7 linked regions of the Ovis aries genome follow. The protein of the gene in region 6 interacts with the protein of the main gene of each other region in a pairwise test. Links are inferred from orthologs where the notes say so. Each region holds a gene or a part of one and is shown on either strand. Other genes may lie near its edges. The genes, in order: SAP30BP, KIFC3, OIP5, FAM13C, RRP7A, TFIP11 and SNRPB.

Region 1 (3,500 bases), on a different chromosome or scaffold from region 6:
ATGGTCACCCCAGGTCCTCCTACCTCTAGAAAGCTGTTGACTCTATGCAGGTTTGACAGACAGACCTGTGTCTGGGTCTCACTCTCTCCAACGTTCAAGCAAGTGACACATCCAGGAAAGAGCCCAGGGCGAGAGCTGCCCTTGCCCTTGTGGGCCTAAGTGGGGATGCTCCAACCAGCCCCACAGACTGAAAGTCTGACGTCCAGTTGAAACCTCATCTTGACATCATACTCGCTCTGCCCGCTGGCCCCAGTCCCTCTCTGTGGAAGGTTGGAAGGCCAGAAGTGACTTTTAATGTCAAGTCAGCGGACATTTGCCCTCCCATTTGGAAACTTGTTTAGAACAGTTCACCTGGGCTAAAGACTTGGTCTGCACACAAGTGCTAAGTGGCTCTGACCTCCTGAGATCCGGTGCTGCGCAGGGCCTCAGGCTCAGGCCTACTCAGCACCCTGTGGCCTTCTTCTTTCAGCATCTATGAGAAGCTCATCCAGTTCTGTGCTATTGATGAACTCGGCACCAACTATCCAAAGGTATGCGCCACCTGCAGAGGCAGCGGGTGAGGGAGGGGACCCAGGGCCCTGTGCCCTCCCCACTGGCTTCAACCTGGACCCACTGAAAGGTCCGTGTGGCACACTGCCAGCAGAGGAGAGCCGTCCCCATCTCTCTTGTTTGAGCCCCAGGGCCTCTGCTTGGTTAGGGGCTAGCGTGGACTCGCCGTGCCCTGTAGATCAGCCTGTCCACAGTGCTTCTCTGCCCTCACTGTCCTAAGAAGGGTTGGCTGGAGACGGGATAGCATCTGAGCCTCCCTGCCCTTTAAGGCCAGAGATTCCAGCCCAGGAAGATCCATGGAAAGACGTGGGGAGAAGCATGTGGTTTCTGAGTCATTTCCATTTATTGGCCCTTTCTGCACCTTTGATGGAGAAGGCGATGGCACCCACTCCAGTACTCTTGCCTGGAAAATCCCACAGGCGGAGGAGCCCGGTAGGCTGTAGTCCATGGGGTCGCTAGGAGTCAGACACAACTGAGCGACTTCACTTTCACTTTTCACTTTCATGCATTGGAGAAGGAAATGGCAACCCATTCCAGTGTTCTTGCCTGGAAAATCCCAAGGACGGGGGAGCCTGGTGGGCTGCCGTCTCAGGGGTCGCCCAGAGTCGGGCATGACTGAAGCGGCTTAGCAGCAGCAGCAGCAGCAGCAACTTTGAACTTTTCTTTTTCAGGATATGTTTGACCCCCATGGCTGGTCTGAAGACTCCTACTATGAGGCATTAGGTGGGTAGCCGTTCATCTGCCCGCTCACCCATCCGTCTGTCTGTCTCTCCAGTCATTAGGCAACACAGGTTTCAGGGTCTCCTCCGTGTTCGGCCATGTCTGAGGAGCTGAGTATGCAGCCTTGAACCATCCAGACCCCTGTCCCTGACTTAAGCTTGCAACACAGCAAAGAAGACAGGATCAAAGGAGAGATTCCGGGAATAACGAGTGGAGTGATGAGGATGCAGGCTGGGCCACCTCATCGGGGCCCGGGGCAGGGTGGGCAGCCTCGTGGAGGACACCGTGTCTGAACGAGGTCTGAAGGTGCACAGAGGCTGGCTGAGCAGGTGTGGACGGGTCCCAGGCAGGGGGCCGGCGGGAGTGCAGCGCTCTGTGCAGGGGCCTGGCTGCGAGGACTGGGAGGAGTTTCAAGGGGCCCGCTCCCTCGGGTACCAGGTCCCAAACCAGTGGCCTGTGGACCACCAGATCTGGCCCGCAGGCATGTGTGGTTGGGCCCCTGTAAGTTCTGTCTTGCTTTAATTTGAATTCACCGCTAGTGTTTTATCTAAAAGTCCAGAGACTTCTCTGGTGGTCAGGTGCTTAAGACTCCGACCTCCACTCTAGGGGGCTCGAGTTCGATTCCCTGGTCAGGGTAGTAAGATCCCACGTGCCGTGCAGCCAGGCCAGGAAAGAAACGATGCAAATCTAAGACCCGGTTGCTGAGAAGGTGGTTTCCCTAGGCCAGCATTACCCCGTGGCTGCAGCCTGCTGGAGCCCAGGAGCAGTTCACCCCTCCAGACGGGGTGCGCAGCCCCAGCTTCAGGGCCTTTGGACTGTGAGGCCCGGCTTCGTGCTGACTCGTGACTCTGCCGATCACAAAGAGATGCTGCAAACAGCAGCCCCGGGAGAGCGGCAGGCGGCAGTCCAGGTTCTTTGGCCTGAATTACCTTGTTTAATCAGCTGCTCTGTAACTGCCTGTCCTGTCTTCATAGCCAAAGCCCAGAAGATTGAAATGGACAAGTTGGAAAAGGCCAAAAAGGAGCGAACCAAAGTAAGTGATGGGTGGATGTCCTGATGAAGCGGGCAACTGTCTGGGGCACATGGGTCCTGCAGGCTGAGCCAGGGGGCTTCCCTCACCCCCAGCCCCCCACCGCGGTTCATCACCCAGCCACGCTCTGAGCAGCCTTAGATGTGCTGGATTTTAAGCCTCCATGACTCAGCCTGAAGACGCTTCCCAGGCTGCTTCCGCTTGATTTCTCGGGGTCTTAATGTTGGCTGCATTGTGTCCCCTCCCCTCCCGATACACACCCTTACCGCTGCCGAGCCCTGGGGGCTTTCTCCCTTTGGGCCCATCGGCAGTCTCCTCGGCCTGAGCAGAGAACGGGCGCTCTGGTCTGTGCCGTCCTTGGCTCCCAGCACTGGCCTTTGCAGCCCGCCTGAGTGTTTCCGTGTGTCTCCATGGCCAGGTGGCCCCTCACGCCAGGACCCTGAGCATGCTGCTTGCCTCTGGCCTGGGTCCTTCAGGGGATGGAGACTTGGCCATGAGACCAAGTCCTCTGGGCTGTGCCCTTTTTGACCGGAGTCTGAGAGAGAGAACACAGCCGCAGGACGCCCGCCCTTCCACCTGCAGTTTAGCCTGGTCCTCCTCCCGCAGCACATGTGGCCTCCAGGACGTGTGTCCCCCACCCCCTTCCCCGGGGCCACAGGGTTGATCCCTCTGGGAGATGGTGCTGGGGCGATCAGGGGTCCTCAGTCTTAACCCTTGATTGAATTTCCCAACTCTCTCTCCTTCCCCCTTTCCAAACCCCAGGCTTGTTGCAGGGACGTGTCTGCAGCACCTGGGGGCCGGAGCTGTCCTTCCCCTGTGCGCACGGGCACCGCCTCCCCCGAGGTGTGAGGGCGGGGCCTGGGCGGGCAGGGGTGCCCCAGCACGCAGAGATGGCCGTGGCGGGAGGGGCCCGGTGTCTGCGGGAAGCTCTCTTCCGGGGAGTAACCGTCCTCTCCAGGCGCCTCTCCAGTGCCTCCCCCACTCGACAGTCACAGCTGGTTCTCAGTGCTTCCCTCGTGCGGTGCCAGGTTGCCTCCTGTCCCCCCAGGAGCAGACAGCTGGCATGCACGCTATGCGCAGGTCCTAACGCACGCTCGTCCCTCTCGCCCCCAGATTGAGTTTGTGACGGGCACCAAGAAGGGTACCACGACCAACGCCCCGGCCACCACCACCACCACGGCCAGCACAGCCGTCGCAGGTA
Region 2 (4,143 bases), on a different chromosome or scaffold from region 6:
AGGCTCCCTGCCTCCCCCAGGCTGCTTCTGGGACATCCTCTGAGGAAGGCCGTCTGGGCCTACACCAGGAGCTGCTGTCTGCTCCAAGCTGGCATTCTGAATGTGTTTTCACTGGAGATTAAAGGAATATTTTACCTTTAAAAATCCCAAACAGCTTCCCTGCTCTGCAAGACATCTATCTCTTGGTGGGGTATGAGAGGGGAACAGGGCCAGGCAGGAGCAGGGGGCAGCAGGTGGTGCCCTGGCTAGGGAGGCAACCTGGCCTGTGTGCTCCTACTAGAGCTAGTGAGAATGCACGTGTGAAAACGCGTGTGCTGATGTGTGACAGTGCATGCATGGGCACGTGTGCTCACTAAAGCGTGTGTTGTTTAGTTGCTAAGTCAAGTCTGACTCTTTTGCAATCCCATGGAGTGTAACCCGCCAGGCTCGTCTGTCCGCGGGGTTTCCCAGGCAAGAATACTGAAGTGGGTTGCCATCTCCTCCTCCAGGGGCTCTTCCTGGACCTGGGATCGAACCCAAGTCTCTTGCCTTGGCAGGTGGATTCTTCACCAGCTGAGCCACCTGGGAAGCCCATGAAAGTCTGTACTGGGGTTAGCAGCATAGGAATGTTGCTCTGTGAAATGTGAGGAAGAGTTCAAGAGTACCTGAAGAAGCATGTACAGCATTTGTGGGAAAGCAAGGGGGAAAGTCTGAACTCCGTACAGGAATGTGAGTGCACATTGGAAGTGTGTGAGAATGTGCAAGTGTGCACACATACTAGCTAGTGTGTGTGTGCTAGAAAGTTTTAGAAAAAAGTATACTACAGATTGTGAGAAACTGTGAAGCGTGGCAAGGGAGCACTTGTGAGAATTGTGTGTTAGTAGTAGTAACTAGTGTGTGCAAAAGTTTTGTACTAGGGTTTGAGGAGGTGTGGATGAGAATGTCAGTTTAAGTGCAAAGCATACACGTAGGAACGAACGTCGGGATGTGTGTGGGAACTGTGAATGTGTTCATGTGGACTCACTAGAGCGTGTGTGCAAACCTGTGAGAGCCGCGTGTATTGTATGTGAGCACGTAGGACGGCTTGTGTGCGTCTGGGGTGAGCGCGCACGTGTGCACGGGCGTGTGCGGAGCGCCGGGAGACCCAGAAGAAAGGTCTGAGCAGAGCCGGCGGCCCCGCGTGAGAGTGTGAGTCTCTGTGTGTGTGCACGCGGGAGCGCGCGCGCGTGCCGCCGCCCCCCGCCAGGGTCTGAGCCGGTTGCCATGGGAACGCGCCGCGGCCCGAGTTAATCATTTCCTGTGGAAAGTGTGCGGGAGGGGCCGGAGCGGGGCGGGAGCGGGGCGGGCCAAGGAGGCGGTGGCGTGGAGCTGCCTCCCGCCGGCGGGCCGGGCCGGGCCGAGCCCCTGGCGCTGCGGCGACGCCGGGATCCTGCCTCCGCCAGGCCGGTGAGTCCGGGGCTCGGGCGGGAAGAGGGAGGGCTGGGCGCTCGGGTTCCGCCCAGCCCGTCGTTCGGGGTGTCGCGTCCGGGATCCCCCTGCCCAATCCCGAGGTGGGGCGCGGGGAGGGCCGGGCCCGGGAGACCCAGCCCTGCGCTATCCCGCCCCCACCCCCGCCCCCCACGCTGTCCAGCCAGAGCCGATCAGAGCATGGGGGCGACATGTCCCCTGGAATGCGAGCAGCCTCGGGACCCCCTTTCCGATTTCAATGGCCCGGGAAAGCCGGAGATTGCCAGGGAACCGCGTGCCGGTCAGCGCCGCCCCCTCCCCGGGCCGAAGTCCCCGGGTCCGCAAGGCTCCCTCGAACGCTGCAGTTTCGAGCCCTCCCACCGCGTAGGTCCTCTGGGCAGTTGGCTTTCCCCTTCGCAGGGCCGGGATGGGGTGGGCTAGCGGCAGGTTAGGAACGAGGGCCTGGGCCGGCGTCCCCCTGGGCAGTGGGGAAATTGAGCCTTTGACAGCTGCAGCCTGGTGGGGAGGGGTTCCCAGCTGGGAGGGCCAGCCCGAAGCCACCTCTGTCAGCCCCCTGTTGTGAGTTAGAGCGGAACTCTGGCGCAGTGAAGGGCCTGGTCCTGGCAGATTTTAAAGAGGAAGCTGTATTTAAATTCTCAAGTACCATTTGTCATCAGCACCCCCCCCCCCCACACACACACACATTTGTCTCAAGGTTGGGGGTCCTGGCCACACCTGCCCTTTCGCCTTCTCTGGCTTTCTGTCCTCCTGAGGCTGAGCCAGCAACTCTGCTGGCCCAGGCTGTTCCCTGTGCCCTTGATAAAAGTAGCCGTCTCCTTGGCCAAAGAGTCATTTGTGAGGAATGCAGTCTGAGAATGGGGCCCTGTATTTGCAGTGACTGGACTTAAGGGATGTGGGGGTAATGCGTTCTGCTTTCCCTCTGGGCACCAAGGGACAGAGGCTTTGAAATCTGGGTTGACCTGCAAAACCTAGGATGTGTGACTGCTCAGGGGAGGTCCAGCCCCTGTCCACCCTCCCAGACCTTCTGCCCCCTCTCTCAGGGAGACGAAGACTATGTTTCCCCAAGCAGTGGTCTCTGGGCAGTTGTCAAGTCTATTCCCCAATCATTGCAGCAACCCTGGTCTGGGGGAAGAGGGCTGCACCTCTGCCACCCTGGCCTAAACCTGGAGAGGCTGATGGGGCTCTCCTGCAGCCTGCCCCTGCGTTCACCCACCGCTGGATATAGGTCACTGAAACATTAAATTTGCGGGGGGGAGGGGCAGGGTTCTTTGTATATGTCAGTATTGTTCTTAATGTTGTGTATATGTGTCATCCAAACTTTACATCAACCCTATTAAGGTAGAGTTCTCCCATTTCAAAGATGGAGATACTGGGGCTTAGAGACAAAGTCATTCTCCCAGGGTTGCACATCTACTAAGTGGTGCAGCCGGGCTCTGAACTAGCTTTTGGTCATAACCACGCTGTGCCCCCATCACCCCGTCCTAAGACCTAGGTTTTTGTGTCTCCAGTCTTGGGCTGTTTGAAAGTCCTTGATGCTTTTGACTCTCACATCTGACAGTCTGCTAATTCAGCTACTTTTTCCTCTCCAGGATCTTGCACACACCCTTCCTCTTTCTTCCTGATATCTTCCTGCCTCCCAACTTCCCTTCCTGAAAGCCAGGAAATAATGTGTCCTTCTGTCCCTGCCCCTCAGGCTTAGCTGACCTCCTTAAAAGTCTTCTCAGGGCTTCCCTGATGGCTCAGCGCATATAGAATCTGCCTGCAATGCAGGAGACACAGGTTCGATCCCTGGGTTGGGATGAGCCCTGGGTAGGGATGATCCCCTGGAGAAGGAAATGGTAACCCACTCCAGTATTCTTGCCTGGAGAATTCCCACGGACAGAGGAGCCTGGCGGGCTACAGTCCAAAGGGTCTCAGAGTCCAACACAACTAAGCACAGAGCACATGAAGGTCTCCCTCAACCATGGAATCGACCTTCAGTGCCCTTTGCCATCTCACCTTCCAGCAGCTCAGCATGCAGGTGGAGCCCGTCTCACTCCCTCCTTCTTTACCCACTGGGCAGCTGATCCTCAGGGCAGATTGTGTGCCCAGCTCTTTGCTGAGTAGCCTGGAGAAGGGGACGTCTGGCTACATCTCCCAGTTCCCTCCACTCCACACTCGTCCATCTCCATTTCCTCAGCGGAGCTACCCACAGGCAGCATTAATGTCCACTCTGCCCTTTGGCCAGCAGTCCTGACCCCTGCCAGGGAGAGGGCACCCAGGAGATTCCTCCTCCAAGGTGTCTTCCTTAATCAAGGAAGGTAGAGGCCAGGACTCTCTAGCCAAGAGCCTGGCATTCTTCCAGGGCTCAGCTCTGCCAACCTCAGGCCACCCATCCTTGGGGTCTTCCTTCTCTTGCCTCTCAATGCTTCAGTTGTTCCTGTTCCTCTATTGACCCAGCATGTGCAGATCTCTCCTGTTCTAAATTCCACATCCTCTCCTTCCCATCCTAGCCAACTTCTCCAAAGAGAAGGAAGTGGCAGCTTCCTCTGGCCACCCCCACCCCACCTTAGACTTTCCCAGGTCTGCCCTCTGTTCTGCTCCATTGACCTTTCTTCCAATTGGATCTCTCCGTGGCATGGTTCCCTGGTAATTGACCATCCCCTCCTTCTCACTCCCGGTCACCTCTGAGGACTCTTCACCTGTCTGTTGCTTCAG
Region 3 (3,998 bases), on a different chromosome or scaffold from region 6:
AACACTACAGCTTGCAGAATAAATCTCCAGAATATACTTTAATATTATGTGGGAAAACTCCACTAAATATACAGAACAATATATACATCCAATCCAGAATTGAACATTTTCCCCCAAACGTTTCGCAGTATCAGAGTCAAAGACCTCATCGGTTTTGAATAGAACACTACCACAACAATGACCAATAGACGAACGATCCTACTGAATCAGAGCTAACTTAATAAAAACTTATCCACGGGGGAGGTTCCCTAAAAATCATCCTTTCTTCCGTCCTCCATTCAAGTAGCAGGAAATTTTGGGACCTCTTACAATTAACAGAACTGTTAGCTGTTTGGAGTTTTCCAGAAGCAAAGGCAATTTAACAAAAGTGTGAGCTGTTTGGAGTTTTTCGCGACCGCCTATTAATTGGCGTTTAGATGCAGCATTCCTTTAGTTTTCTAAAGGGCCTGCCTTTCCTAACAGATGGACTGATAAATAGCAGAGTACTCCCAATAAAACCAAAGCAAACAATTTTGGAGGCGGGCATCTTTCTGAGTCCCTGTAAGAGTCAGCCTCAACAAAGGTGAAAACTTTGACACCCTCTCGGTTTTGCACAGTTACTTGGACCCTTGGGTAAACCAAAATCTACCGCCCCAAGGCCGGGACAGTCGCCTCAGCCCTCGAAATTCCCGCTCGGTCCCCTCCCACAGCGTCTCAAAGAAGCCGCATATCCTATCCCCCAGTCACCGGCCCCGTACCCTCAGGTTAGCCCGGAGGCCCAGGTTCTTGGCCAAGTTCTGCAGGTCACTGTACTTGAAGGAGTTCAGCTCCTCCAGGGAGGGAACGATCATGGCGAACTGCAATCCAGGTAACGACGCGGAGGCCCGATACTTAACTTGCTAAGGCGCCGCTCAACGCTCTGGCGCCACTCAAAGCGTTGAGCAAACCGGTATTTATAGAGAGTTTAAATTACGTAAGCTGCACTTCCATTGGTTACAAATCCGTTAAAGGCGGGGTCTTCTGGTACTGACCAATAGGATGGTTGACTTCCCTTCCACCTGACCCACGATCTTCTCCACACTGCCCTAACACCTAGGCGCCAAACGGCGTGTCCAGGCAACAAAGTGCGCGGCAGAGCCCCCGTTCACGTTGTCCAATGAGGACGCAGGAGCCAACTTGGGGTGGGGCCTAAATAGTCTTTGAAACGGTGGCGCCGGCTGCGGGAAGATGGCTGCTCGGCCGCGGAGGCATGTTTCTCGGATTGCAAAGCAGCCACGGGGTGACTTCTGTGATGGGACTAAGAAAGCGATTAATGAACCTTCTTTTGCGACTTCCATGGAGTGGGACACGCAGGTGGTGAAAGGGTCTTCGTCGGTCGGCCCCGCAGGGCTGGGGTTGGAGGAGCTGCCGTTCCGCCCGCGGCTGCCGCGATGGCTGCAGCCCGAGAGGTGCGCGGTGTTCCAGTGCGCGCAGTGCCACGCCGTGCTCGCTGACTCTGTGCATCTCGCCTGGGACCTCTCGCGGTCCCTCGGGGCCGTGGTCTTCTCCAGTGAGTGAGCGCGGCGCCTTCTCACTGGGTGACTGAGAGCAGCTGGGAGGAAAGCAGGATGAAAATTTGGAAGGAACTTAACTCCTTTGCTGGGGGGTTGGGGGGGGCGAATAACTTTTTACGATATTCGTGACCATGATGAGCTTTTCTGACTGAGAGAGGTTTTCCCTTTCAGTGCCTCACAGGTAGTCATTCTGACCTGTGTTTGCCTTTTAGGAGTCACAAATAATGTCGTTTTGGAGCCTCAGTTCCAAGTTGGCGTTGAAGGTTCGCTCAAAGGCAGGTACGTACTGAAAATTCCAGAACTGTCTCTAGTTATTCCCTGACTTATTGTGGTTGAAGAGCGTGGAACCGACTTGGACCAGAAGTTTTTTCCTATCTTCCACTAGGAGAAATGTCTGTTTCGTTCATACAGTGTACTTGAAGAATGCTCCGTTTACCTGATTGTCTTGTACGAACTTGATGTTTTAATGAAATGGCAAAGATACTTGTGTAAAGGTTTTAAGATCTTCTGAGGGCCACATTTCCCTCGTGGGTTGTGCAAGTGAAGTGAATTTAAGAAAATTAGGAGGGGAAAAAGGGAGAAAATTACCTTTAAGTGAATCACTTTTTATAAACTGCAATACTTTGACATAATAGGACATATACACTTGCATTACACCTGGAATTTGTAATAAACTACAGCGGGACTAATTCTGCTGTAACCTAGGAACCTGGAGAAAAACACAGGTTGAAAGTTAGGTCCTTGAATACTGCCTGGTGAACTTTGCATCGTATCTGTACTGTGATTTAGAAGTGACAACAAAGTACTCAGTGAATTCAGTACAGAGCTCCTCAATTTTCAGTGTTGATTTTAACAGCAAGACAATTCATTTTGACCATTGGTTGGTCCAGTTTTAGTGTTAAATAGAGTACGTTTAGGAATTCTTAGTTGCTGTACTCAGTAACCAGGAAGACTTCTGTAGCTCCTCTTTCCCAGCTGAAAGATTCCTTATCCTTCCAGGAGTGTCTACACACCCAAAGGAAACTGGGAAAGAGTGGTGGCCTGCTTGGAACTGGTTCATTTGGGGCCCGAGGCAGAAGCTCTTTGAATATCTTCTTAGAGAGAAGTACATCTAGCTAGATCTGTGCTGTCCAGTACTGTCACTTGTCACATGGTGGCTACTGAGCACTAAAAACGGTGGCCATTCTGAACTGAAATATGCTGAGTGCAAAATACACGTAAGATTTTGAAAATAGTCAAAAACATTGAATAATTTAGAAATATTGATTACATGGGTTTTGCTGTTGTTGATGTCGTTTTTTTGTTTGTTTTTGGCCCCACTGTACAGCTTGTGGGGTCTGAATTCCCAGACCAGGGAGCACATCTGGCCAGGGCAGTGAAAGTGCCCAATCTTAACCACTGGACCCCCAGGGAATTCCCTTGATTACATGTTGAAATGATGTCTTTGAATATTGGGTCACATAAAATATATTAAAACTAATTTCACTTGTTACTTTTACCCTTTTTTTTTAAACAAGACTAATAGAAGATATGAAACTACTTACATGGCTTGCATTCTTATAGAAAGTACAGATCTAGATGGCTTTTAAAACACTGGAGAGAAAGTTCGATGTATTTACGTTTTTGAAATAAGGAGAGCCATGGGATTCAGCAAGAAGAGATTTATTGTCAGGAATTGGTTCACTCGATTATGGAGGGTGAGAAGTTCCAAGAGCCATGGTTGACAAGCTGGAGACACAGGAAGGCCAAAGGTTTAGTTCTAGTCCAAGTCCACAGGCCTGAGACCCATGAGCCAAAGGTGCGACTTCCAAAAACACAGTATTGCGTGTGTAGTGTGGGACTTCATCTACCAATAAGTTTAGTGCGTTTGTTCCTTGGTCCTGTTTAGTGTCCATTGACATGAATTTGTTTATTTTTAGCCATGCAGTTATACTTTATTAGTACTGTTTTACTGCATAGTATATTATGTTTATACAAATAATTTTTCCCTCATTGAACCACTCTAAATCGCTTTTAGTACATGCACGACAGTTAATTTTTTCTTACAACATTTCTTTGTAATATTTAGATTTGTCTTATATACTAGCAAATAAGGTCAATCAGTTACTCAAATGGTTTAAATAGAACTAAAACCACATTTCTTTTAGAGGATAAAGGAAAATAAAGTAGATGACTTGCTAGGATCATAAAATTTCTTTCTTTTTCATTTTGTCTGGGAAATTGTTTTTGGTTACATCTGCAAAAAAATCCTGATTTGCATTCTATTAATAAATTGCTTAATAAGCCCTAGTCAACTTGATTGTTTTACTTCAACTGCAAATTGGCTTAATGGTGGCTAATTTATATGGTTATGTGTAGTTTTATATGTTTAAATGTTAATCTGATTAGTTAGCTCTTTTTCTGCTTTTCAGATATAAATTACTTTTGCAAAGTGACAGTTGTGTATCCATGATTGCTTTTGTAGCC
Region 4 (4,200 bases), on a different chromosome or scaffold from region 6:
TTTCATACAAATATAGGCAGGTAACAGAGATCTATTAACTTTTTAATGAGGGTATCTATAAGATGATGGAGAAGGAAATGGCAACCCACTCCAGTATTCTTGCCTGGAGAATCCCCATGAACTGAGGAGCCTGGCAGGCTGCAGTCTATGGGGTCACAAAGAGTTGGACACAACTGAGAGACTAAACACACACATATGCGTAAGACGAGGATGCTCTTGGTTCCAAGAGTGTTTTGAGGAACTGAATATGTACAGGCACTTAGAAAGAATGTTATTAATGTTATAAGACTGTTAGGTTAGATACAAAATTGGTTCAAGTTGCATAATGCAATAAAACCATAAACGCTGAGGTTTTCTTCTGGACAGATCAGACAAAATGTGCAATGCCAGCACGTAGCTCTGTAGTGTCCGGAATCTAACCAAGAGTGACTAGCAAGTTAAACACAGTCCATTTTTGTAGAGAATTAAGCAGTCCTTGGGTGGACCTCTGAAGCACTGTCTTGGTGTGACACTGAAAGATCTTGCTCTTTCCCCTTATTACCAAGTTTTGAATAATTTTTCTAATAATCTGAAAATTAAATTTTGATTTTTTTTGTTGTTTAACTCATTATCTTATATAATTTAGACTAAAAACTACCATCTCAGTGGCTTCAGAGAGTGAAGAGATTAAAAGAAGGGAATGAGGATCTTCTCAATTCAAAATAAGCATCTTTCCCAGGTGACTGTTCACTCCACATCAAGGTCAACCAGGCAGGAGAAATTAACAATGAAAAGAGAACAGGACAGACATCTCCTGGGGAATGAGGCAAGTGGGAGGCTGACAGCCTTCCCTTCCCCCAGTAGGGCTGCCTTCATTTAAAGTGGGTAGCGCAGGTGGATTCGATCTCTCATCTTTTGTAAAACTGGTTGGGAGTGGAGCTTGGGCCAGCTGCCCTGGGCAGAGCAAGCCCCACTCCGCGCACGTTCCCCCCAGTCATCAGCTAATGCCTGGAATAAATTCTCCCCTCTCCTTGAGCTGGTTCATTCAGAGCTTTGAGGTCCTGGGCTGGGCGCTTCCTCTTGGGGACTGAAATAACGGGAGTGCAGACTGACTGGTGTAATGCTACCAGCCCTCTTTCAGGGCTCTTCTTTTTCTTCCTGGGCAATAAACATAGACACCAAAAACAGCAGTTATGATCCCCTCCCCCTTCTGGTTCCCTTCCAGCTTTTTCTGAACGATCTGTGCATCTCTGCGAGCCTCCATCCCTAGAGGGGGTAGCTCTTGTAAAACTGGTAGGAGACGTCTGGAAGAAAGCAAGTCCCCCGGAGATTTCAGCACCTGGGTAGAAACAGTCGGGCTTTCCAGGGGGTGGCCGGCACCGGGAGGCCTGGATTAAAGGCGGCGCTGGGCTGGCGAGATTGAGGTCCCGGAGAAGCGCTCCAGGTGCTCCTCGCGGGGGTCCCGGGTGCGGCTGCCTGCCGCGCCCCGCCCAGCTCTGTCCCCGCAGCCTCGCGGGCTGCCGGGCTTTGTGGTTCGCCCGTGCGGCTGGGCCCCTGCTGGGGGTGTTGTTACGAGCATGTGCAGACAGCAGCCCAAGGTAGAGCGAGCGTGCCGGGCGAGCCCTGAGACTGGCCTTGCAATGCCATGTTTGTGTGTGTGCTCTAACTCCCGGAGAGCAACCAGGGAGACGGCTCCCCGGCCGGACTTGGCTGATGTTTTCTTGTTTCTGTTTCAGCCTTCAGGATAATTCCTTCAGCAGCACCGCTGTAACAGAGTAAGTGATTCTTGTCAATACAATAAGATTTGCCTGCCTTTCTCAGGAAGCAACTAACGTGAAGGTATCCTCCCCCGTCCCCAGCTGCTCTGGGTACTAGATGCATTGTCTCCTGTAATCTGGGGCTGTGAAGACCGGGAGACGTGGGGGCTGGTGGGGCCCAGAAATCTTTACAGGTTGAAATCAGCCTTTTAGCAACTATGGGAGAGCTATTAAAGCAAACTGATGGCTTACGGGAGCACAGTGCTCCTATATTTGTGTTCTTGGAGTTCAGATTTTTGAAAAATGAATCTCGTTGACATGTCAGCAAGGAAGCTTTGTTGTGTTTTGCCAACACTGGTGTCTGTTTTCATGAGCACGCTGTGTACATTTACAGCAAGTAGGAGATGGATGTGAAATGACTCGAGTTGAATTCCAGCATGTGATAAATAGGCTAAACTTAGCCTCACCCTCTCCTTTCTACAGACTTTTAAGACAGTAAACTTTTCTTGCATGCCCTTTGTCGATTTTGTCTGCTGCCCTCAGAGATCTGGCTATCGTAGGACTGTGTTATCTACTCCTACGGCTAAAGCTTTTGATAGGGACAAGTAATACCATTCAAACATGGAATGAAGGAGTGTAAATATTTTACTCAAGACCAGCATGCATGGTATTTTTTATTAGATATTTAGAGTTTATGCTTTTAATTCTTGTCATCCTTTCCTTAATGTTTTTCTAATACTGTATTATATGTATATGTTAAAAATTAGTGGGTAGTATATTATGCTAATAGTATATGTAACTGATATGGAATTTACATATATACATATATGTATGAAATATCTACGCTTTATTTAGCAGTCTTTCTCTAGGCTAACTCATGGTGTTTACTTCTGGGACCTTACTATAGAAGTTACTCTAAATAGTTTTTTAGGAAAAAGAGGTGTATATGGTTATATGCTCAACTACATTTAAAAAATGCTGCAAGTTTGATACAGAAGTCCCAGTAGCTTGGGAGCTATTTGCTAAAGTTCCCTAACAGGCAAATAAATGATATGAGATTCAAGTCACTGTATCAGTGACTTGGTAATGGAGGACTATAGGGCTTCCCAGGCCCTCTTGATTTTTACATTCTTTTGTTTCTCTGGATACTACTCTCTTAGAGTTGAGCTTTGGGCTGTCTTAAGTGGAGTTACTTAAAAAAAGAAAAAGATCCAGGGTTGATTTTCGAAGATCCAGTGTAAAACACTCATTGAAACCTTCTTCCTGTTAATGAACTTGCTTGGTAACGGTGCTATAACTTTGCTTTCCTAAAAGCCTTAGAGTGGGGAGAGGCGCAGGCCAGAGATGAGGCTGTGGCTCGCTGGTTTGGGTACACGGGTATTACTTTCTTCCTTTTGCTGTGCATATAGCACCACAAGCTTCCTGGGCCCGACTCTCAGGACCTGGTGTGGCTGAATCCCCAAAGTCAGCCATAGGCATAGCAGCTTCAAAATGGAGTTCCTTAGTTTTAGATTTCACCTGGACATTGTTTTAAAATTGGTTTTAGTTAAATGCTGGGGAAAGTCTGGTACCTTGTCTTTGGACAGTCCCCAAGGAGTTCTGATTGCATAAGACCTTGTTGTTGTTTTCAGAGAAGTGACAGTGATTTATTTTAAAAGGCACTGAGTGACAATTGGGATGCCATCTGGCTAATCTAAAAATCTGAGGGGCATATTTGAAGCATACCAAGCCTTCATAGGTGTAACAGTACAGTCTAGGGCCATTTATAACTAGTCATTGTCTAATATAGTATTTTCTCCTCTGAGTTTTCCTTGGTTCTTTAGGCATGACCCTAAAGCCAGCAGGATCAGAATGTGCTATACTGAGATAGAAGTAGCAGGTGATTCATAAATGTTCAGGTCTGGTCTTGGCATACAGCACTTGCCTCTATTCTACGGTCTGGATAAAAGAAAACATCGCCTTTCTCCTATCTCCACCCTACGCCTACTTCCTCCTACCCACCCACACATACTTATCTTTTCTACTGCCTGAAATTCTACCTAGAGATTTTTTTTTGGATGAAGAACTCTGGTGGTGACCCTTATTAAAATGGAAATTTTAAAAGTCTGTGTCCCTGGGAGGTGGATTCAAATTGTCATTAATATTTTAATATAAATTATGTTATCAGCTAGTTTAACCTAACAAGGTTCTGCTTGGCCAGCTGGGGGTCTTTTAAGAGTCAAAGGGAGTGGAATTGGGAGGTACTCAAGGACACATTTTATTCTCTTCTTAATTTTTCCCATGCCTTGCCTGTCCGTGTCTGTGCAAATGTGGCCCAGTTCAGTTTCTTTTTCCTACCCAGATTCTTCCAAGGTCAGAATGGCCTTGGCCTTGGTTCTCTATCTGTGTACCCTCTCATCTGTTATTTTTCCGTGGTCATTTCCTATGTTGCCCTGGCTAACTCATTACTTGAAATGAAGCATAT
Region 5 (4,155 bases), on a different chromosome or scaffold from region 6:
TGAATAGTAGACTCAGAGGTAATTTTACTTTCTCCTACTTTTCTTATTTTTTTTTTTTACTATGGATGCGGATCAATTAAAAAAAAACAAAACAATGTTTATGTTGTCAGACTTCACACAAGTAGTTGGCACAACCTTCACAATACTCAAGAAAAAATGTGAGAACAAGTGTCTGTCCTGGAGGAGGGCATGACAACCCACTCCAGTATTCTTGCCTGGAGAATCCCATGGACAGGCAGGCTCCTCTGTCCATGGGGTTGCAAAGAGTAGGACACGACTGAATGACTAACACTTTTGGTTTCAAGTGTATCTGTCTTCAGGTGGAATTATGCTTGGCAGACATAGTTATGCAACAACTACTTTAGGCAACAGAAGACTTTAGCTGTACTATAATACTACCTGCAATGGACATGTATCAATTTTATAATCGGGGAAAAAACACGTAACTCAAACAATTCTGGGTAACATATAAGAAGCTATGGGCTCCCTAGAGAATTATATTTAAAAAAGGACATCTTTAAAATGCCAACTTCCTGTTGTAAGAGATGCAGACTTCCAGACACCACCCCTCGGGACTTCAGTTAGCTGCTTCCCTCTCATCACTGAGGACTGGGGGGTGGGGGGCCCACAGGAGCCCCTGCCCCAGGCTCAGGTTCCCTTCCAGACACCCGTTTACCTCTGTGCAGTATGGGGGCACGTTGAGGACAAAAAGAGTCCGCTTCTGAGGCCAGGAAGACTTGGTGCCTTCTCGAACTTTGTGCTCTCTCACATAGAGGTAATGAGAAGACTGCTGCTTTTCAGAGAATTTGATCGGAATGGCTGGAAGGAACGTGGGAACGGGGAGGGACGACACACGAGTCAGGTTCAGGCTGTCCCTTTTTAGTCCTGTGTGCCTGTTGGTCCGCCCATCCACCCATCCATCCTTCACTGAGCTCTTCTCCTAGGCAAGGCCTGTGCAAGATGCTTCGGCAGGCTACACAGCTGAACGAACACCATCTGCCCAGGAGGGGCTCCAGTCGGCAGTAGAGAGAATTTTAATGGGATGCGAAAGGAGAGAGGTTCAAACTCTGCTGCTCTGGGAGTAAACCCCAAATCCTTACCACGGTCCCCCGTGTAGCCTCTCTTCACCCCATCTTCCCCTCTCCACACCACATACCTCCTCTCTGTTCCTCCAATCAGCCAGGGCCTCACCCATGCTGCTCTGAAACATCAGCCCTCATCCTTCCACCCATTCTTCAGGTCCTTACTCCCTCAGGAGAGCCTTACATGCCAGGTTAGAGCTACCCGCTTTGTGCCTTAACATCTCTCTCGGTCTCTAAGCCCCTTGCTGTGTGATGATTTGGATAATCGCTGGCATTCCCATAAACTTTAATCCTGTCACAAGAGATGCAAACTTCCAGACACCACCTCTTGGGGCACGGAGAGCACGGAGAGGATCCAGAGGATCCAGCTGCAACCCTGCACTCAGGAAGCTCACGTAGTGAAGTGAGAGGACAGAACAAGTCAGCATGTAACAAGGTGGTATCAAATAGGAAGGAAAAACACAGAGTGAAGTAGAGCAGGCTAATGGGTGACAGACGCCTTTGGGGACCACCTCTTTGAGGAAGTAACATTAAAGCCTCCACCAGGGGCTTCCCCAGAGGCTCAGTGGTAAAGAATACACCTGCCAATGCAGGAGACACAGGTTGGATCCTGGATCCGGGAAGATCCCACATGCCACAGAGCAACTAAGCCTGGGCACCACAACTACTGAGTCTGTGCTCCAGAGCCCCGGAGCAGCAACTGCTGAAGCCGGCATGCCACCTAGATAGAGCCGGGGCTCCACTAAAGAAACCACTGCAATGAGAGGCGCACTGCAACCAGAGAGCAGCCCCGCTCCTGGCAACTAGAGAAAGGCCGGAGCACCAACCAAGACCCAGCACAGCCAAAAATAAATAAAATTCCAAACAGGAAGGAAACAGAGTGAAGTAGTGCAGGGTACTGGGTGACACAGGCCTTTAGACATCTATCAGGACCACCTCTTTGAGGAAGTAACATTAAAGCTTCGACCAGAATGACACGAAGCCCTGTAACGGGGCAGAGCTGTCTGAGGAACTCAGAGGAAAAAGACACAGTAAGTACAAAAACTCTGTGGGTGTAAAGAGCTTGTTGTCTCGGAGAAACAGAAAGACAGAGCTTGTAGGTCAGCTAGAGCCAGGATAGGAGGGATGTGATGTCTGGATTTTGTTTTACGTGCTAACTTTAGTCACTGCAGAGAGTTCGTCGGGGATGGGCGTGTGAGGCAAGATCTGAGTTAAATCTGACTTTAGAAAGAACATTCTGGCAGCTGAGTGAAAAACAGAAGGCAGGGGAACAGGCGAGGTGAGCGCTGACGCGGCTGGACCAGAAATTGCAAAAAGGGGCTGATAAGTGGATGGGTGCCTCTCAGGGGGGAGAATACAGACAGACACAAGTTCGCCCTGGAAAAGTGTAGACGAAGGTGCGCTCACTCAAGGAAAGCGTTGGCCAAACTAGGCTCGTCCCGAGCCAAGTGAACCCAGACGAGAACAGGTGCCGCGTGGGCTGAGGGGGCCCGGGGCTTCAGAACCTTCTGGGGCTCACGTCCAAGCGTGTGACTGCTCCTCGGGGTCCTGACCCACTGCCGACCCCCCAGGCTCTTCGTGGAGAAGCACGGCCGCTCCCCAGCCTCGCGCCCCGCAGCCCCTTACCTGAGTAGCCGGGCAGGGTTGGAACCCCCGAATCAGATTCCCGCGCCGCACGCTTCCTTCTGCGCGCCACCATCTTGCCGACCGGAAGCTGCGGGGGATGCTGGGAGTTGTAGTTGGTCGCTGGTAGCCGTTTCCGTGACGACGGCGCCTCCTGGGGCCCCGCCCTCTCGGTTCCAGGCCCGCCTCTTGCGACCCCTAGTTCCCGCCTGCCCGGTCCCGCCGTCCTCCCAAGGCCCAACCTTCAGTTCAGTCGCTCAGTCGTGTCCGACTCTTTGCGACTCCATGAACTGCAGCACGCCAGGCCTCCCTGTCCATCGCCAGTTCTTGGAATAAGGAATTATATTAAAGTACATAATTATATCGTGTATGTAAAACAACACATGGATATGCAAACATTTATCATTTGTATGTAAATGTTTATTATGTAAATACATATATATATTAAAAAGTTACCACAGTATACTATTGTTGATATTTTATCAGTGTTGATATTTCTAAGTGCCGAAACATTCCTTCTCTAGATATCCCTCAGCCCTTTCCCATTTATAAAATAATTGTTTTAAATATTTCCTTTACATGCACTGAGAACATCGTTATTATTTTTGCTAACGACTAGGCTACCAGAGAACTCCCAACAACCATTATTTCTTCGACTTTTACTTTTCTCCTTCTGGGACTCATGTCACAGATTTTAGACTTTTTGTTACAGTACCATAGGCCCCCAAAGTCCTTCATTATTTTTAAGTCTATTTTTCCTTATTGTTCAGATTGGGTAGTTTCTATTGTTTCACCTTCAAGTTCACAGATTCCTCTCTATTACTTTTTTGGGGGGGCGGGAGGGGGAGAATGGTACTTGTAATTTTCAATTTTATTTGGCTGCACCGTGCGGCTTGTAGGATCTTAGTTCCCTAACCAGAAATCAAGCCCACAGCTTTGGCAGTGAGTGCAAAGTCCTAACTACTGGACCTCCAGGGAATTTGGTGTATTTTCAACTTGAAAAGGTTTTTCTCTACTTCTGAAACCAACTTAAAGTGGTTTTTCTTTACTTCTTCAATTGTTTGAAGTTCAAATATTCCATCAATTGTTTTGTGTTAATCGCTTATTGACGAATTTTTAATGGTTGCTTTTAAATCCTTATCAGTAACTAACATCTCTGTCATCATGGAGTTAACATCCATTCTTTTCTCCTTCAGGGTGAAATTTTCCTGATCTTTAGTATGATTTGGAGAAGGCAACAGCACCCCACTTCAGTACTCTTGCCTGGAAAATCCCATGGACGGAGGAGCCTGGTAGGCTGCAGTCCATGGGGTCTCTAGGAGTCGGACACGACTGAGCGACTTCACTTTCACTTTTCACTTTCATGCACTGGAGAAGGAAATGGCAACCCACTCCAGTGTTCTTGCCTGGAGAATCCCAGGGACAGGGGAGCCTGGTGGGCTGCCGTCTA
Region 6 (4,262 bases):
AATCACAGCTGATGGGGACTGAAGCCATGAAATTAAAAGATGCTTGCTCCTTGGAAGAAAAGTTATGACCAACCTAGACAGCATATTAAAAAGCAGAGACATTACTTTGCTAACAAAGGCTCATCTAGTCAAAGCTATGGTTTTTCCAGTAGTCATGTATGGATGTGAGAGTTGGACTGTAAAGAAAGCTGAGTGCTGAAGAATGGATGCTTTTGAACTGTGGTGTTGGAGAAGACTCTTGAGAGTCTCTTGGACAGCAAGGAGATCCAACCAGTCCATCTTAAAGGAAACCATTCCTGAATATTCATTGGAAGGACTGATGCTGAAGCTGAAACTCCAATACTTTGGCCACTTGATGGAAAGAACTGACTGATTTGAAAAGACCCTGATGCTGGGAAAGATTGAAGCTGGGAGGAGAGGATGAGATGGTTGGATGGTATCACAGACTCAATGGACATGAGTTTGAGTAAACTCAGGGAGTTGGTGATGGACAGGGAGGCCTGGTATGCTGCAGTCCATGGGGTCACAAAGACTCAGACGCTACTGAGCGACTGAACTGAACTGAACTGAGCTTAGGTCTTTTCATCATACAGATAGAGTGAGAGAAAATAAAAGGTAAAATTAGCAGCTAACACTCCCTAAGCATCTGTTATGTACCAGGTACAGTTTTAATTGCTTACCTATTTTATCACAACCATTTTGCTTCAGGAAAGGTAATCAATGCCTTGCCTGGTTTCACAGTTGTTAAGTGGTGGAGCTGAGATTGGAACTCTAGAGCCTGTGTGCTGACGCGGAATCCAGAGCTGGTGAGGGTTTCTCTAGGAGTGTCCCTGCTTGTCAGTTCCTTTGATTCCCGGAGCCTGGCACATTGTAGGCACTAGGTACATTTTTATTAGATCAGTGAACTGATTTATTTACCAACCTGTTGGAAAGGAAGAGAATGAAAAGATTGCCTGGCAGAATACTTGGGAGTTTGCCCATTTAATCCTTCACTTAATCAAACTCCTGTAAAAGGCAACCGCTCCGGGCCCACGACCGTGCTTATACTGAGAGACTCGAAGATCCAGGAGACAGTCTTGACCTTCATTATTCCTATTTGAATGTCATGTGCCGTCCCCACGCCACCGCAAATGTCTCATGCACAAATGTCCCAGGAGCTAGTCTTATATCCCCATTTTGCAGATTTAGAATCTCAGGCTGACAAAGGAATCTCCCTCGGCCAGGGTGGCTCGGCGACGTCCGTACCAGTCGTCAGAGGCGGGCGTCACGAAGAAGTGAGCGCGACAAGAAACAACAGAGAAACAGCCCTTAGCCGTTCTCGGCCGCGAAAACCTTCACCATATCAATAACTCAAATGCTCTAAATCTAAAGCCGCCCCAGCGTCCCACTGCTGCCATGGCAACGAGCGCGTCACATCGGCTGACGTGACGTCATTTCTGGTGCGCCGCATTCGCGTTCCGGCGCCTTAGTGGCGCGTTTCTCGCACGGAGTGGGGCTCTGAGTTTGGTCCGCTGAGCCGGGGAGAGGTGAGCTGGGCCCGGGCGTGGACGGACAGGGGACGCGGGGGTGTCCGTGCCAGTAGGAGAGGGGACTCTGGCTCGCGGAAGCGGGCCTCGGCCTCGCCGGTCCCTCTTCCCTTTGGCAGACAGCTCGGCCGCAGCGGGCCGGGGGCGGGGCCGCTCGAGGTCTCCGGGCCGACTTGGACCCCGAACCTCCACCGCGGGGCCTGGACGGCGCGGCAGCGAGACGCCGAGCCCTGGCTGCAGTTCAGCTGGTGTCAAGCCTCACCAGCCGTGGAGCCTAGGGAAGTTAATTTCTCAGCCTCGTTTTACTGAAGTCTGAGGTTCGAAGGCGCTCGCAGTACCTCCCTCGTAGAGGTGCCTTGATGCCTATATTAGATTATCGGCCTGAGGCGTCCAGCAAGGGCTTACTTAGCACCTCCTGGGGGCTCTGTAACTCGTGACAGCTCCGTGCTTTTTACCATGCCCTGTGCCCGAGGAGGCGGCGGTGATCGGCGACTCCCATGTATCTGGGACACGCCGCCTCCTCTGAGAGTATTTCCCACCTTTTTCGCGCCTGGATGACGTTGGGACCGGCAGGACCCAACCATTGCACCAGTGAGTTGAGTAGAGTTAAGTAGGGAAAACTTTCCCACAGAGCTGACCAGAGTTTGAACTCGCCTTAGAAGTGTTGTGAGTTGGCTGTCCCTGAAGCCTGCTTTTTGCAGCTGCTAGACGGAGGCCACAGCGCTGTCCTGCACCTAATGTACTGCGTTGCGGTGCCCCATGCTTGGCACATGGTCTGCATTTAATATCCATGCATTGAGTACCAGGTAGAGTGGGGATTTGAACTCGGTCTGTGTGATTTCAGCACCTGCTTTCACAATCACTTTGCTCCATGCTAATCCAGTAATAGGAGGGGCCATAGACCTAATCTGGGACTAGAGTAACAGGCACTTCCTGTGAGCTAAGTGTTTTGAAAGAGCCATCTCATTGATTCTGCTGCACAAGCCTTCTCTAAGGTTGGTACTGTAGTTAATCCACTTAAGAGACAGCTGAATCTCATCACCCAGCTACCCTGAGTGGATTGCTGCATTCCGGTTCACAGATGTGTGCTGTTTTAAGGTCGTATTCATAATCACTACTGCCTTCTAGTGCCTCAAAAGAGGTTCCTGTCTGGGGAAGAAAACCTGAGGGTTATATATAAGTGTTTTCTAAAAAAAAAAAGAAATCACTTTGCTCAACTGTTATAAGTCCAGATGAAACTCTTCACTCAGCAATAGAAAAAAATAATATCCAGGAAGATGTTTGCCTCATTTGTGAGGCAGTCATCCGTAGAGTAACATCCTTAAATTGTTTTTACATGGTTTGTGTGTATGTGCGTGTGGGTGATGTTTGACAACATTGAGAAGGAAATATGTTTTTATCCACATGGACTGTTGGGACTGGTCTTTTTTATTCTGTTTTGGTACCTGTTTTGTAAAATACGTTTTTAGCGTCTGCTTTATTGAATTGTAACAGTGACTTCAGTGGATTTTAGTTTGGAGGAAGTTGTGAGGGCAGCCTTCTGCTGCTGCCCTGGGACTTGTCACAAACTGTGCCTTTTCCCTGCCTCCCTTCAGTGACGGGCCATGTCGCTGTCCCACCTGTACCGGGACGGCGAAGGCCACATGGATGATGACGAGGACGAGCGGGAGAACTTTGAGATCACCGACTGGGATCTCCAGAATGAATTCAACCCCAACCGGCAGCGCCACTGGCAGACCAAGGAAGAGGCCACCTACGGAGTGTGGGCAGAGCGAGACTCGGATGAGGAGAGGCCCAGCTTTGGAGGCAAACGGTATGGCTGGCGCGGACCGCTTTCCCCAGGCGTTGGGGAGCTACCCTGCTAAGTACGCTTCTCTCCCGGCCTCCCCGAGCCCCTTAGCTGCGGCCTCAGCCAGGGAGCCCAGTTCCTCCTTCAGACAGAGCACTGCTCTCTCACTGACCGATCGATCACGAGTGAGCGATCATGTATCTAAAGCCTTGTGCTGCAGCCCCAGTCCTTCCCTTCCAGGAGCCCAGACCCCGGAGGATGAAGGCAGGCTCACAAATGGAAGTTTGTAACTGACGTAGGACCGGAGGGGGAGTACTTTTCCGGGTGTTGACCCGTTCTGGGAGGTCAGGGAAGATTGAGTGGTGAGGGGCAGGAGGGAGCAGAGCCCCTTGATGGGAGGAGCAGGGCGCCCAGGAGGGTGTGAGTGGTCTTATGGGGAGACGGGGGAGAGGGAAAGGAGGGGACTGTGGTCTGTGCAGAGGGGGTGAGACGTGGCGGGGGGAGTGTGTGTGCAGACGACCCTGGGAAGCCAGAGTGGAAGCGGGGCTGTGTGATGAGACCCGGGCGGTGGTCCGGGGACGGGTGGTGGAGACTGGGCCGGGAGGGCAGCTGTGGGCTGGGGGTTCAGGCTGAAAGCCGCCTCCTTGGTGTGAAGTCGTGTGTGGGGGCTGCAGCGTGTTTGAGCAGACTGTGTAGCAGACTGAGGTTAGTCTGTGTGTCCCCACCTGAAGCCTGGATGCTCCAGCCCGTTGAGACTGTACATTTTCCACAAAAGAGACAGGGAGAAAGAGCAGAGATCCGTTCAGCCTCTTTTCATCTGGCAAGAAATGTTACCAGTGGACAGTGTGGATCACAGGGCAGGAGTGTATGATCGTAAGATAGTAACAGCAGCCAGGACCTGCGGGTCCTGGTCTCACGGGCCTGGTCTCACTGACCTGCTGAGAGAA
Region 7 (3,061 bases), on a different chromosome or scaffold from region 6:
TTAGGTGGTGACTAGCTGGCTGGTTCCTCTCAGTTTGCTCTCCTGTTTTACAGGGCAGATTAAAATGGAGAGTTTCTTAAATCTCTTTCCTTAGTCTTGCTCTTTACTTCTAGCAGAGTACAAGTTGTAAGTAGGGCTGCCAGGCTTTTTATTTCTCTGATTTTGTGTGCCCGGGGGTACTGGGGTAAAGGGCTCTCATGTTCTCCCCACAGGTGTGTAAGGGGGGAGAGCTTGATTTTCTGGCCTCATTGCCTATTTGTAAAGCTGTAGCCTAAAGGGCTCTCACAGTGCAGCCTGGTCTGAAACTGCTTTAAGAAGCCTCTGACCCTCTTCAGGGTAAGTGCTCAACTCCCCTTGTGGGTTTGGGGCCAGTGATTTTTGTTGTCATTTACAGAAACAATTGGAGAATACAGTCCCATAATTTGTTAGATAATTCCCTTGTCTTAGGACTCACCGATCTTAAGCTTCTAGCCTGGTAAAAGATGTGGTCTAGTGTTTTATACAGTAAAGGCATCTTGAGGCCCAAAGAAGTTACGTAATTTCCTTGACCATCCAGCTCTCTTTTGCCACTGGAGTGTCCATAGTGTGTTACCAGTGGCTGTCAGTTCCTTTTAATTCTCTTTGGGACTTTTGTTTTCTTTGTGGCATGAGGTCAAGAAGTATAAGACAGAAAATGGTAGTGATGGCTGAGTGCCCGGTGTACATTAGAGAGTGGCCAACATTTTTAAATGAGACTAACTTTATTCTGGTAATGAAAATGTGCCCATTAGAAAATATTTTGTAAAAGTACATAGAAGTATATGAGAAAAAACTTAAGAGACCCAGAAAGGATTTTTTTTTTAAATTGTGAAAGGGCAGTACATGCTTTTTTTAAAAAAAATAAGAACTATAGATAAGTTTTAAAAAAGAGGAAAAAATGACCACCTATAGAAAATTTATATAAAATATCATTAAAATGAAAACTTTAAGTAATTTTTAAAAATCAAGATATTTTGTATTTCCTTTAACTTTAGGATATTGGCTTTGACTTTCCTTTCCCTGTCTTGTTGCAATTACTTTTTCCCAGTCTATCTCGTTTATATTTTGCTCATCCTTTTCTACTTGTGGATATTTGGAGATTTGTTTTTGTTCTTTGAGGATAGAAGTGTAATTTCTATGTAGCTAATCTCTTAACCTTTTCCTTTATGGCTTCTATTTCTAATATGAGGTGAGAGACAGAGTTATAGTTCTGTGGGGCTGAATTAATACTAGAAGGATACTGCATGTAAGTAGAGTGAATGGGATTCAGTTGACTTGAGGAATTGTTCCGACTGCCTTCCTGACATTGTTAAGGCCTTAAACTGAAGGAAGAAAAAGGGTAATGGCAACAAAGAGTTGACTGAGGGAAGGCTTTCACAGTGGCTTTGTGAGTGAGCCAGGGCTGGGCTTTCTTGAATCTTGTCCTGTCTCTTGGTCTGTGCATTCTCTTGGCATGGGAGACAACCATCAAATGGGGGGAGGTTACAAGTTTAGCCTGTCAGTAGATTTAGTGTAAAAAAAGTCTCGGAGGGCCCCTAGGTAGGTGAACATGAACTTTACCCTTTTTCTAATGCTGTTTTGCTTTGTTTTGTTTCTTCTCCTAAACCTGTCTTTAGACCAAAGAACTCAAAGCAAGCAGAGAGAGAAGAGAAGCGAGTCCTCGGTCTTGTACTACTTCGAGGGGAGAACCTGGTCTCAATGACAGTAGAGGGACCACCTCCAAAAGATGTAAGTCAGAACTGAGAGCCAGTGCAAGGCCAGGAACCTTGTGCAAGGGAGGTGCCACCCTGACCTGGGCCCTGTGTGGGGTTCTCTGTTTCATTGCAGTTCTCATAGGTATCTTCTGGTTTCTGTTTCCCTTATACAGATAATAAACCAGAATCTTAAAGAGGTTCCTTTGCAAGTCAGAAGTAAGGAACTAGGATTTGAGGGTTTGTAACTTTAAAGCCCTCTTTTCCTTAGTTGATGTACCTAGTCAATAGAAGAGGCACCTAAGGCCTCCTGGATCAGTTCTTAATGTGATGACAGTCTAGTTGGACCATAAAAAATTGTAACTCCAAACAATAGAATGCATGTATATTTTTTGTATAGTTATAGAATAATAGTTAATATTTAATTAAGCATCTGCTATTTGCCACGCCCTTCAGTATTTAATTCATGTAACAGTCTTTTGAGATAGATTATTCCCGCTTTATAGATAATGCCAATTGAAATTTAGTAACCTGCACAAGGTGGCACAGCTGGAAAGTGGTGAAACTGTCATTTGATTCCAAGCAGTATTGGTTCATTAACATCAGCCTCCCTTTAGAAATAGGAGAGGCTTTAGAGAATCTAACCAAATTTGTTTCCCCTTTTTCGTTTTAAGATAATGTTTGTTAAAGGAATAATCTTGTTACCTTGTGTTAATTTTTGTCCACATATATATATGTTGGGTTTTTTTAAACTTGTAATAGGTGTGTATCATTCTGCTTTTTAACTTAACATTGTAAACATTTTTCCAGTTGCTGTATTCAAAAGTCATGTTAATGACTTAAAGATACTTTCAAGTGAGTGCAGAGTAGTTTATCCTAGTTATTTCCTTTTGTTTAGACTCTTATATGCAAAGGATGTTACCATGTTTCTGATTCAAGGCCTAGGTACCTATTCATAGCTTTGGTATCTATTTCCAGTAGAATTTGCTACTCTAATGTAGCCGATTGTAAGCCTTCAGGACCACAACCAGTTTTGTTAAAACCTCTTCATTGGTAGATGAAGAAGCAGTACTAGAATGGTGGGATTACTTGCCCACTATCCCCACTATTACCCACCAAGTGAGAATCAGAGCTGGGACTGGACCTCATATCTCTTTGTCGGGTCAAAACACTAATCTAACATAGATACCCTTTGGGGTGGAGGCTTGGCTGTTTATTTGATTTTCATAGGAATGCATATTGGTTGAGTTGTACCTGTTTCTCTTGACTTAAAACCCTTAAGTTCTTTTAGCCTGCTGGGCATATAATCTTGGATGGAGGAAGAGTGGTGTTAACAGGAATGGATAGTGTTT

The links.
Region 1: the proteins of TFIP11 (region 6) and SAP30BP interact in binary tests that used the Homo sapiens proteins (3 or more experiments, as listed by UniProt). The two-hybrid records come from large-scale screens. The link is inferred for Ovis aries from reciprocal best matches to the Homo sapiens genes TFIP11 and SAP30BP.
Region 2: the proteins of TFIP11 (region 6) and KIFC3 interact in binary tests that used the Homo sapiens proteins (3 or more experiments, as listed by UniProt). The link is inferred for Ovis aries from reciprocal best matches to the Homo sapiens genes TFIP11 and KIFC3.
Region 3: the proteins of TFIP11 (region 6) and OIP5 interact in binary tests that used the Homo sapiens proteins (3 or more experiments, as listed by UniProt). The two-hybrid records come from large-scale screens. The link is inferred for Ovis aries from reciprocal best matches to the Homo sapiens genes TFIP11 and OIP5.
Region 4: the proteins of TFIP11 (region 6) and FAM13C interact in binary tests that used the Homo sapiens proteins (3 or more experiments, as listed by UniProt). The two-hybrid records come from large-scale screens. The link is inferred for Ovis aries from reciprocal best matches to the Homo sapiens genes TFIP11 and FAM13C.
Region 5: the proteins of TFIP11 (region 6) and RRP7A interact in binary tests that used the Homo sapiens proteins (3 or more experiments, as listed by UniProt). The link is inferred for Ovis aries from reciprocal best matches to the Homo sapiens genes TFIP11 and RRP7A.
Region 7: the proteins of TFIP11 (region 6) and SNRPB interact in binary tests that used the Homo sapiens proteins (3 or more experiments, as listed by UniProt). The link is inferred for Ovis aries from reciprocal best matches to the Homo sapiens genes TFIP11 and SNRPB.

Annotation. Positions count from the first base shown.
Region 1 is NC_056064.1:55,225,602-55,229,101, reverse strand, and holds part of SAP30BP (SAP30-binding protein), read left to right. Parts: intron 1-469; coding exon 470-530; intron 531-1,220; coding exon 1,221-1,272; intron 1,273-2,243; coding exon 2,244-2,302; intron 2,303-3,061; coding exon 3,062-3,142; intron 3,143-3,412; coding exon 3,413-3,497; intron 3,498-3,500. UniProt on the Homo sapiens protein: Plays a role in transcriptional repression by promoting histone deacetylase activity, leading to deacetylation of histone H3.
Region 2 is NC_056067.1:25,344,597-25,348,739, reverse strand, and holds the start of KIFC3 (kinesin-like protein KIFC3), read left to right. Parts: upstream 1-1,343; 5' UTR 1,344-1,626; coding exon of another isoform or gene 1,627-1,637; coding exon 1,638-1,809; intron 1,810-4,143. UniProt on the Homo sapiens protein: Minus-end microtubule-dependent motor protein. Involved in apically targeted transport. Required for zonula adherens maintenance.
Region 3 is NC_056060.1:34,994,549-34,998,546, reverse strand, and holds the start of OIP5 (protein Mis18-beta), read left to right. Parts: upstream 1-1,198; 5' UTR 1,199-1,206; coding exon 1,207-1,528; intron 1,529-1,744; coding exon 1,745-1,811; intron 1,812-3,998. Other genes in the region: NUSAP1 (nucleolar and spindle-associated protein 1), read right to left, coding at 738-830. UniProt on the Homo sapiens protein: Required for recruitment of CENPA to centromeres and normal chromosome segregation during mitosis.
Region 4 is NC_056078.1:14,369,152-14,373,351, reverse strand, and holds the start of FAM13C (protein FAM13C), read left to right. Parts: upstream 1-1,400; 5' UTR 1,401-1,692; coding exon 1,693-1,754; intron 1,755-4,200.
Region 5 is NC_056056.1:219,366,612-219,370,766, forward strand, and holds the start of RRP7A (ribosomal RNA-processing protein 7 homolog A), read right to left. Parts: upstream 2,801-4,155; 5' UTR 2,782-2,800; coding exon 2,709-2,781; intron 820-2,708; coding exon 677-819; intron 1-676. UniProt on the Homo sapiens protein: Nucleolar protein that is involved in ribosomal RNA (rRNA) processing. Also plays a role in primary cilia resorption, and cell cycle progression in neurogenesis and neocortex development.
Region 6 is NC_056070.1:66,369,134-66,373,395, reverse strand, and holds the start of TFIP11 (tuftelin-interacting protein 11), read left to right. Parts: upstream 1-1,462; 5' UTR 1,463-1,526; intron 1,527-3,121; 5' UTR 3,122-3,130; coding exon 3,131-3,339; intron 3,340-4,262. UniProt on the Homo sapiens protein: Involved in pre-mRNA splicing, specifically in spliceosome disassembly during late-stage splicing events. Intron turnover seems to proceed through reactions in two lariat-intron associated complexes termed Intron Large (IL) and Intron Small (IS).
Region 7 is NC_056066.1:52,396,632-52,399,692, forward strand, and holds part of SNRPB (small nuclear ribonucleoprotein-associated proteins B and B'), read left to right. Parts: intron 1-1,634; coding exon 1,635-1,746; intron 1,747-3,061. UniProt on the Homo sapiens protein: Plays a role in pre-mRNA splicing as a core component of the spliceosomal U1, U2, U4 and U5 small nuclear ribonucleoproteins (snRNPs), the building blocks of the spliceosome.